2 linked regions of the Caenorhabditis elegans genome follow. The protein of the gene in region 1 purifies or fractionates together with the protein of each later gene. This does not show direct contact. Each region holds a gene or a part of one and is shown on either strand. Other genes may lie near its edges.

Region 1 (3,709 bases):
GCGAATTTTCCTATAAAATCTCAATTTTTTTTTTAAACCTATCCGTCTTACAAAAAATATCGATTTTGGCATTCAGCATGAGGAATATTATTGTGAAATCGAAAAAATAAAACTATTTCCAAGTTTTCTTCTCCAAAATTTGAGGTGTTTTATTTATTTTCTCCATTCGTTTCCCTAATCCAAATTTTTCCAGCTCCAAAAAATGTCAAAAGACGATCCGATCAACTCCATCTTCTTCGAGCACCAGGAAGCTGCTCTTTGTGCTCAACACGCGCTGAATATGCTCCTACAAGATGCTCTGTACAAGTGGCAAGATCTCCGAGACTTGGCCATTCAGATGGATAAAATGGAACAACAAATTCTGGGAAATGTAATGGAAAATACGAAAAAATTTTAATTGAAATTCTTGATTTTTCAGGCAAACCCAACTCCGGGACGAAGTGAGAACATGAACGAAAGCGGCTACTTTTCAATTCAAGTTTTGGAGAAAGCACTTGAAACATTTAGCCTCAAGCTCACAAATATCGAAAATCCTGCGATGGTGGACTATAAAAATAATCCCTTGTACGAGTTACCATATAATTTACAAAAAAATTTCATAATTTCCAATTCAGAACCGCCCGTGCTTACATATGCAACCTCAGAGAGCACTGGTTTGTGCTCCGAAAATTCGGAAATCAATGGTTCGAGCTGAATTCGGTGAACCGTGGGCCCAAATTGCTCTCTGACACTTATGTTAGCATGTTCTTGCATCAAGTGTCGTCGGAAGGTATAAATTCATGAATTTTGAAGCTAAATTTTGATAATTAGAGCCAGATTTTTATTTATCCCTAAACTACAAGCTGTAGCGTTGATTTTTTTTTCTGAAAAAAAGTTCCAAAAATCGAAAATTATTTTAATTTATCAATTTTCAGGTTATTCAATCTTCGTGGTGCAGGGAGTTTTGCCAAGATCCGATGCAGACGATCTCATCTCGCTATGCCCAGTTGTACCGCCAAAAGTTACACCGAAAAAGGAGCAGAAGCTGGAGAAAGTCATGACAAAATTCTTCAATACCGTCGGAAAACGACTTGGCGGTGGAAGCGGTGCTCCTCCGGATTCTCAAGAAGAAAAAGATTTGGCGATAGCTTTTGCAATGTCTATGGAAACAAAGGATGGCTCTGAAGTGTCTCGAAGTTCCGCTGAAATCGATGAAGAAAATCTCAGAAAGGCGATTGAGCTGAGCCAGGCTCCAGGACCATCAGAACCGGCTGAGATACCGCTATTGACTCGTTCTCGATCTTCGACGCCGCCAGGAGCTTCAGAACCTTTTTCAAATGCCGAACAACAGCGCAGAGATCGACAAAAGTTTTTGGAGCGATTCGAAAAGAAGAAAGAAGAGAGGAACGATGAAAAATAACGATTTAATCGTAAATTTATTATTTGAATTCTATTATGTGAATATATTCTCGGCTTTTCCTGTATAATTCGATTATTCATTTCTCCCGATACTTGTATCCCCAAATACTTGGTGCTTATGTATGAACCGCTTTCAGACTATGTGATATATTATTTAGAATTAGATGAAATCTCCTTTTTTTCTGAATTTTGTTGCCCTTTTCAAAGTTATTCTGGCATTCCATGAGTATTACTACCTTCAATTTTAGAGTTTTTGGAAAAAATAATCATTTTTTTTAGATTGAAAATGTTCGAGGAATTGGATGCAGAGGACGGCGGAGAAGAACAGGAAATGCCAATGAATGGTGATTTTTGAAAATTCAAGAAATTTTTCGAATTCGAGCTTAAGCTAGTGCTCCACGAGGAGTAGGATTTCCCAGTTTTTTTACTCAAAAGAAGAAAATGGCAATATCTTAAGCTATTTTAATACAAAATTTGATAAAAATTGAATTTTTTTGTTAATTTTCTGATCATTTTTTCCCGATTTTCTCTGAAAAAAAAAACTTTAAAAAATTATTTGATGGCACCCTTGAGCCGAAATAATAAAAATATTTTACAAAATCTAATAGTTCCAGAATTCGGCGGCGGCGGTGAGGACATTGACGATATTCTCGGCGATGCTCCGGATCTTCCAGACGACGAATACTCGAATAGTGTTCCACAAGGAGCCGCTGATGGATCCATTGAAAACGACGAAAGACGAATGAGAAATGATGGAGCCGGCTCAACGAACGAGGATGACGAAGAGCCGATCGAGCCAACTTATCTGGGCGACGCAATCGATTCGCTTATGATGCATTGGTGTCAGCTGCTGACGAATGTATCGGTTAAAGCGCCCGTTCCACCACCATCAACACTTAATCATGTTAAGGAAGTCGCAGAAGTCTGCAGTAAACATGTACGTGGTGGGATTCTGGAAAAAATCTGAAAAATTCGAAGCTTTTTTACCTAAAAAAAACCAATTTATCAAAGTTTTATTGGTAATTCTCTAAACATTTTTTTCCATTTTTGATTTTTGAAATAAAAAATAAAAATACTTGAATTTTCTATTTACTTTTCGAGTCTACCATTCAAAATGTTAGAGAAATTTGGAGGATTCTCATTCAAAAATTTGAAATTTGGAGCTCATTTTAGTAATTTTCAAAAAAAAATTCCAATTTCCAATTTTCAAAAAAAAAACTTAAATCCTTAATTGTTTCAGTTCCGCGATGCCTCTGTCGATGTGAATAACGAGTTCACGCGTCTCGGTGTTCAATGGGAAATGGAACAACCATATTCACAATATGCGATTGAAGAGGAGAACCTGGATGAAGCTATCGAACGGCAGGAGACTATCATCGCAGCCGCCAGAGAAATGTTGAACTCTCGGATTCAGATCTACAATGAGGCACATCCAAATGCTGGGAAACATTTTACCACTTAATTTATTTTTTACCTTGCTATTTTTGTATATTTTTGCTACTTTTTTCTCGAATCTAAATCTAAATGTATAACTCAACAAGTTTATAACCAACAATATAATAATATAACCGGAAAATTAGCGAATTTTCTTTTCGATCTTGATGTTGTTCAGATCAAACTCGACATGGAATTTCTTGCCGTTGATGGCAAAGTCGGTAGAGCCACTGCCAAAAACTCTTTGGATGAAATTTGGTTGGAGAACTTTAACGACAAGAAGAAAATCCTGTACGCAACATGTTGTGATGTTAAGCGATTTGAAGTTGGCAGAGATTTGGAGAAGCTGAAAATTGGTAAAATAAGTAGGTAAATTGCTGTTCCGAGCACAGATTACCTGAATGATACGGTTTGCATCATGCACGGAAACATTTTTCATGTGGATCTGAATATCACTAAAGTGTGTGAGATGCATGAAAACTGGGCAAAGACAGCTTTTCCAGATGAAATGAATGGATTTTGCCTTCTTCCAGTGATTCGACTCGACGACTTTTCCAATATGGTCGAAGCAAATGTGATCGTCGATCTTCAGATCTTGAATATTATCACTTCCAAAGTATTGAAGAATCATTGGGATCTCCTCATGGATGAATCCAGTGATTGTGAGCTTTCCAACGTCCACTTTTTTCACGGATTTCAACATAATTCGGATGATCTCTGAAGTTTTCTTTCGATCGACTCCCTCGAAATCCGGGCCCAAAACAACTTCGAAAGATTCCAAATGAAGTTTCGGATTATTGATAATCATCTTGAAGTCGGTAGAAGCCAGCTTCAAATAATGTCCGTTTTTGATTGTCTTTTCCGAAAAGTTATAGGC
Region 2 (5,492 bases), on another chromosome or scaffold:
AGCAGCCCAGATAATGCAGAACATAATTTTAAATATTTATCAACAGCGGCTCAACAACAAGCCCTTGTGACGAGAAATAAAACTAGTAATTTCTAGGCCGTCGAAATTATGTTCTACTGGTTTCTGTACGGGAATCTCGAATTGTAGATAGAAAGCGAATGGCAATTTGTGAACGTCCTGGAGCTTTGGCAAAGGATGAAGCTGGTAAAATTTTCTGGATCATCATTTTTCGGAAATGTACAATTTTGACATTTTTAGGTCGCCTATTCGTATCTAATCGGTTCTCTGCAAGTATCCAGTTAGTTGACACAATGCGTTGGGTATCAGAGAAAAATGTGGCCATTACTGAAGCTTTTGTGAGTTGTAAAAGTTTATCCAAATTCATTTTTCTGAAAATGTTTTCCAGGTCCGCCATTTCACAGCATGTTGGGGACTTTTGGCAATTCCATTGAAAAATGCAGTTCGTCTCCAGAGATATTCTTTCCGTTCCCTTCGATAAACTCCTTAATTTTTAATCATATTTTTTTCAATTTGCCCTGTTTGTAAAAATAAAAACTTCACAACTTCAATCAATTTTACATGACATTTTAAGAAGATAAATTAATGAATTAAAAAAATAATTATATATTGTCTACTAGACTTGATCATCGGTTTTCTTTTTAGAAATCTTCGTCTGATCCACTTTCTTCAAATGTCCCGGACTGGTAACATCGATTTTCCATGCCAACGCTTTCAGTTCAGCCGCCAAGTTTTTAACGATTTCTCTGGAAGTTAGAGAGGATTTGAAATTACAAAAAATTATGTACTCACTTATTTGCCTCAAACTGCATATATTTCTTGTGAAGCTCTTCGGAAATCCATTTTCCCTGATACCATATATGTCCTTCTACTGGTGGTGTTTTAGAGATTACAATCGCGAATCCTGGAAAATTATTCAAATTGTTGTAACTTTGAAAAGTAAGAGAGAAAATTACTTTGCTCCAGCTCTGCTCTTCTTTTCTGTCGTTCTTCATCCATCGGTTTTTTCAATTCTGAGTCATCAAGCATCAATTCAATGTAGTCTTCACCAGTCATTCGTTTCCATGTGGGTTCACGGCGTTTTTCAATTATTTGTCTGAAAAAAAAGATAATTATGACTGGAATAGGTACAATATCAACTAACCGAATGTCACTCATTCTCTGCAAAGCGTTTTTACACTGATCAGCCAAATCATTCGGATTTTCTCCTTGATTCAATGGCTTCCGTTCCATTACTTTTTTGAGTATCGTTGATAAATATGATGTTCTGCAAATAATGTATCAAATGATATATCTTATGATTAATTACTTACTTGACATTGAGATCATTAACCAACTCTCTTCCATATAAACACAATTCTCCCGTTGAATACTTTTCTAAATTAGTTTCTTTTTGCGGCGACTCACGGATGTGTGATTGTGGTTCTGTTTGCTGAGCCATCGTCTCCTGAAATAAGATAATAAAATTCTAACACTAAATAAATGTGCACAGAGTGAATGCTCGACTTCATTCAATAACTTGCACACTACAGAACAAAATGGTCTATAATTTGTATTCAAAGCGTGTTTTGGTGGAAAATTGCATGTTGTGGGGGATAAAATTCGACTTTGAAGTAGTTTCCACGGAACAAAATAAATTTAATAAAATTTAATATAGACTCAAACTAATTTCAGAAGATTAAATACAATATTTTTTTAATCAAATTCGTATTTATCAAATGATTATTTCCACAAACCTGGGCTCTTTGCTGTGAAGAAGCAGATGTTTGTTGTGGTGGATGACCAGTTTGTGGTGGAATTGAAACTGTTGGTGGATTCGCAAAGGCTTGTTCGGCTTGAAGTTGTCCAGCTCTGTTTTGTTGTTGTTGCTGATGTTGTTGAAGCATGTACTCTTGCTGTTGTTGTTGCCGTGCAGCCAGTTCTTGCTCCTGCTGTTAAACGATTTTAGATATTTCGATTCAGAATTTAGATTCTTAAATTTCTGAACAAAACTATGGCGTGATCAGAAAAATTATTAAATTCAAAAATCATAAAATTAAGCTCTTGCTGTCAGAATTAAATTTCAAGTTTTATAACTCACCAATTGAGCATTTCTTGCTTCATTATCCGGTCTCCGAGCAATTGTTTGAGTTGGTGCAGCATGAGGATTAGTGGCTGTAGAATACGTTGTTGGTTGTTGAAGAAGTTGACTGAGATGGGATTGTTGTTGTGGCGGAGCTGGTGGAAGTGGAGCAGAAGAAAGATGTTGAGCAAGAAGAGAAGTTGTCGGATGATGCATTGGTGGAGACGAGAAATCGGGCATGTTTCTGAATATAAACAGTTATGAATGTTTTCTAAATAAATTTTTTTTGCCAGATTCCAGAATCCCTGAAGCGAAACTCTGTGATTTTTGCAAAAAAAATACGGTACTCGGTCTTGGCACGACACATTTTTGTTAAATGAGGAAATATGTGTGCGAAGAATTGTAAAAAAAAGTGTTCAAATTTTTTTAAAAATAAACTAATATATTTTTATTTCAAATTTTGAACTTTGAAAAATTGAGGAAAATTCGGCAGAAATTAGTTTGAAACTACAGTATTCTTTGAAGGCGCACTACTTTTAATATTTACAAAAATTGTCGTGTCTGTGGAGACCTGGTACTATATTTTTGGAGTAAAAAAGTAAAATTTCGTGTTTGGGAAATTATGGAAAAATTGCTGAAACTTACGGATCCATCATTGGAGGCATTCCTTGTGGCATTCCAGGTGGCATCCCATGCATCGGTGGATATCCATATGGATGACTTGAAGGAGGCATCCCAGGCATTCCGGATGGTCCTGCTTGCATTCCGTATCGATTTTCTTGACTCCACATTGGTTCTTGTTTTACTGAATATGCTTCAGGGGATTAGAAAATGTTCTTTTTTTTTTATGGGGAAGGAGATTTGGACTTATTTATATTATGGGATTAGGAGAATGTAAATCTGACTTTGTAAGTGTTTTCTGTGATCCGATCTAACGGAAAGCTTTGCAAAAATGTGGATAATCTATATCTTCAAAGGTTTAGCTTCAAATAAATATAATAATCAAGAAAAACTTGAAAAATGTTTTTCAGGCGCGATTTGCACATTTTATTTCAATTATTTTAAATGCAAATATCAAAATTGCAGCTGTTGGGTGAAATTCCACAAGAGGAATTATTTTTGCATGATATTTCCAGCTAAAGCCTCACTTTGAATTCCCATAAACGGTGGTGGACCGCCTGGAGGCCCCGGTTGAGGATATTGAGGAGACTGTGGAATGTATGGCATCGGCATTCCAGCTTGATACATTGGATAATATGGTGTAGGTGGAAATGGTGGAGGTTGATTTGGGTTGCCAGGCGGGTAATTTGGGGGTTGATTCGGATTCATTGGTGCTGAAGTTTTGGAATTTCATAATTGTTCCGTTTCTGATTCTGATATTGAGAGAGCGATAACTTACTCCACAGTAAAATTAAAATGTAGTAATCAAGTTGCAACCAGTTTATTGGATATTCATACATGTAAGTGTAAAGTCAACTTTTTCACAGATCGAGGATAATAAATGAGGTCACTTAAAAAATATAAAAATATACTGAGAGATCAAACAATTTACTCATTTCGTGAAAAATAGGAATCACCGAGACAGCCAAAGGAGAATAGAATACTCTTAAAATTCCATGTCTTCAATTTCCAAGTTCTTCATCTCTTTCACACACAAACGTTTTGCCTCGAAAAAAGCTGCAACAACAGCTGCAAGCTGTGTTTCATTAGAACATCCAGTTGACAAATTCTCCTCAACTTCTCCTAATCCAGTGATAATAGCTGACATTGCTTCATCTGGGATGTCCAAAGTGAATACAAAATCGTGGAGATGAGTGATGACATCTTGAAGGGCATATCCGTTCTCGAACAATTTCGTTTGAATTGTATTCATACATTTTTTCGATGGATCATTCAGTAGAGTCTTCACAACTTCTTTCATTTCTTTCGGTGTCGGCTGTCCAATACACTGGTAAACTGTATTTTCTGAAACTGTATCGAAACTCATTGCAGTACTTTGAAGTGTGTTGATGACAGTTCTCATGTCACCTTTTGAAACAATCAAAAGTGCATCTTTTCCATCTGGAGTCATTTTCAGTTGTTCCGTCTCCACAATGTATTCCAACCGGGGAACAATCAGTTTTTGATCTAAGGGAGCGAATCGGAAACGAGTACAACGGGATTGAATAGCTGGAACGATTGATGCCAAGTAGTTGCAGATGATGCAGAAACGAACGTTGTCCGTGTACTTTTCAATCACTCTGAAATAAATATTTACATTGTGGATGATTATATTTTGTTCATAATCAGTTTTATCTAACCTTCTCAATGCATTCTGAGCATCCTTTGTCATAGCATCAGCCTCGTCAAGAATCACAAGCTTAAACGGCACAGTGCCTGTGTTGGAAGATGTCGAAAATGCTTGAAGTCCTTTTGTTTGTGCGAAGTTTACGATGGTGTTTCTGAAAATTGCTATAAATTTAAAAACGCCTGATCAATAGTTTATCTATTTACCTCACAACATCAATTCCACGTTCATCTGAAGCGTTCAATTCCAATACCATTGACGCCATTTTCGTCGGGGAATACATTTGTCGCGCTGCTGCTAACACCGTCGTCGTTTTTCCAGTTCCAGGTGGTCCGTAGAAAAGAAGATGAGGCAATGTGCGGTTTTCAATAAATTTCGTCACTAAAATGTCTCGAAGTTAAAATAAAATTTGAAAATTGGAAATAACTCACAAGTTTTTACAATCTGCTCGTGTGCGACAAGTTCGTCCAACTTGCTTGGACGATATTTCTCCACCCATGGCAAATTTGAAGCTGTTGTTGTAGTCATTTTGGTTAGCTAAAATTCAAGAATTAAATTAAAATAATCAAAACGCAGCAAAAATAAAAAAAGGGAATAACAAACATTCAAAAATTGCAGAGAATGTTCTTCTCGAGAACCGGTTCTAGAGCCCATCGCGACATTCGCGGCAAAAATGTTCTCCGAGAGGATTTCACGAGGCTGTCCACTGGTCGCGGCGAGACCCATTCAGTTTACTTTTGGCAGAACCTTTGAAGAATTTTGACATTTTATATATATATATATATATGAGAAGCTTCACTCTTGATGGCAAAGCACATGTAATTTTGCAAAATTTTGGAATAAAAAACGGAGGAAAAAAGTTGAAAAAATAATTTTATTGACATCAATCAATATTCATAGGTGGAGGAGCTAGCTGGGCAAGTTGTTCGAGTTCTTGGAGAGACGCATATTCCGATGATCCAGGGCTGAAAAAGCAAATAGGAATACAAATAAAATAAAAACGGAAACTTACAATTGTGTGACTTCATCTGGAGGAGGAACATTTTCATTGCAAAGTTTGGATTTTTCATGATTGAAATGCTTATTTTCCCGTTTGACGCCACTTTCATGACGGCACCGCTGTTC

The links.
Region 2: the proteins of mdt-28 (region 1) and mdt-30 purify together in Caenorhabditis elegans (affinity purification with western blotting, with the first as the bait; one study listed by BioGRID). This does not show direct contact.

Annotation. Positions count from the first base shown.
Region 1 is NC_003283.11:15,573,372-15,577,080, reverse strand, and holds mdt-28 (Coiled-coil domain-containing protein mdt-28), read left to right. Parts: upstream 1-1,675; 5' UTR 1,676-1,684; coding exon 1,685-1,742; intron 1,743-2,006; coding exon 2,007-2,335; intron 2,336-2,638; coding exon 2,639-2,860; 3' UTR 2,861-2,938; downstream 2,939-3,709. Other genes in the region: atx-3 (Ataxin-3 homolog), read left to right, coding at 203-370, 419-564, 615-769, 915-1,399; fbxa-94 (F-box domain-containing protein), read right to left, coding at 2,975-3,178, 3,230-3,709. UniProt on the Caenorhabditis elegans protein: Plays a role in normal growth and development.
Region 2 is NC_003281.10:8,024,629-8,030,120, forward strand, and holds mdt-30 (Glutamine/asparagine-rich protein mdt-30), read right to left. Parts: upstream 3,415-5,492; 5' UTR 3,410-3,414; coding exon 3,229-3,409; intron 2,886-3,228; coding exon 2,726-2,885; intron 2,325-2,725; coding exon 2,099-2,324; intron 1,950-2,098; coding exon 1,755-1,949; intron 1,466-1,754; coding exon 1,332-1,465; intron 1,286-1,331; coding exon 1,163-1,285; intron 1,115-1,162; coding exon 975-1,114; intron 923-974; coding exon 811-922; intron 765-810; coding exon 635-764; 3' UTR 557-634; downstream 1-556. Other genes in the region: F44B9.2 (uncharacterized protein), read left to right, coding at 97-204, 259-356, 407-499; F44B9.8 (putative replication factor C subunit 5), read right to left, coding at 3,687-4,320, 4,381-4,521, 4,574-4,748, 4,799-4,904, 4,971-5,021; F44B9.9 (uncharacterized protein), read right to left, coding at 5,277-5,332, 5,380-5,491.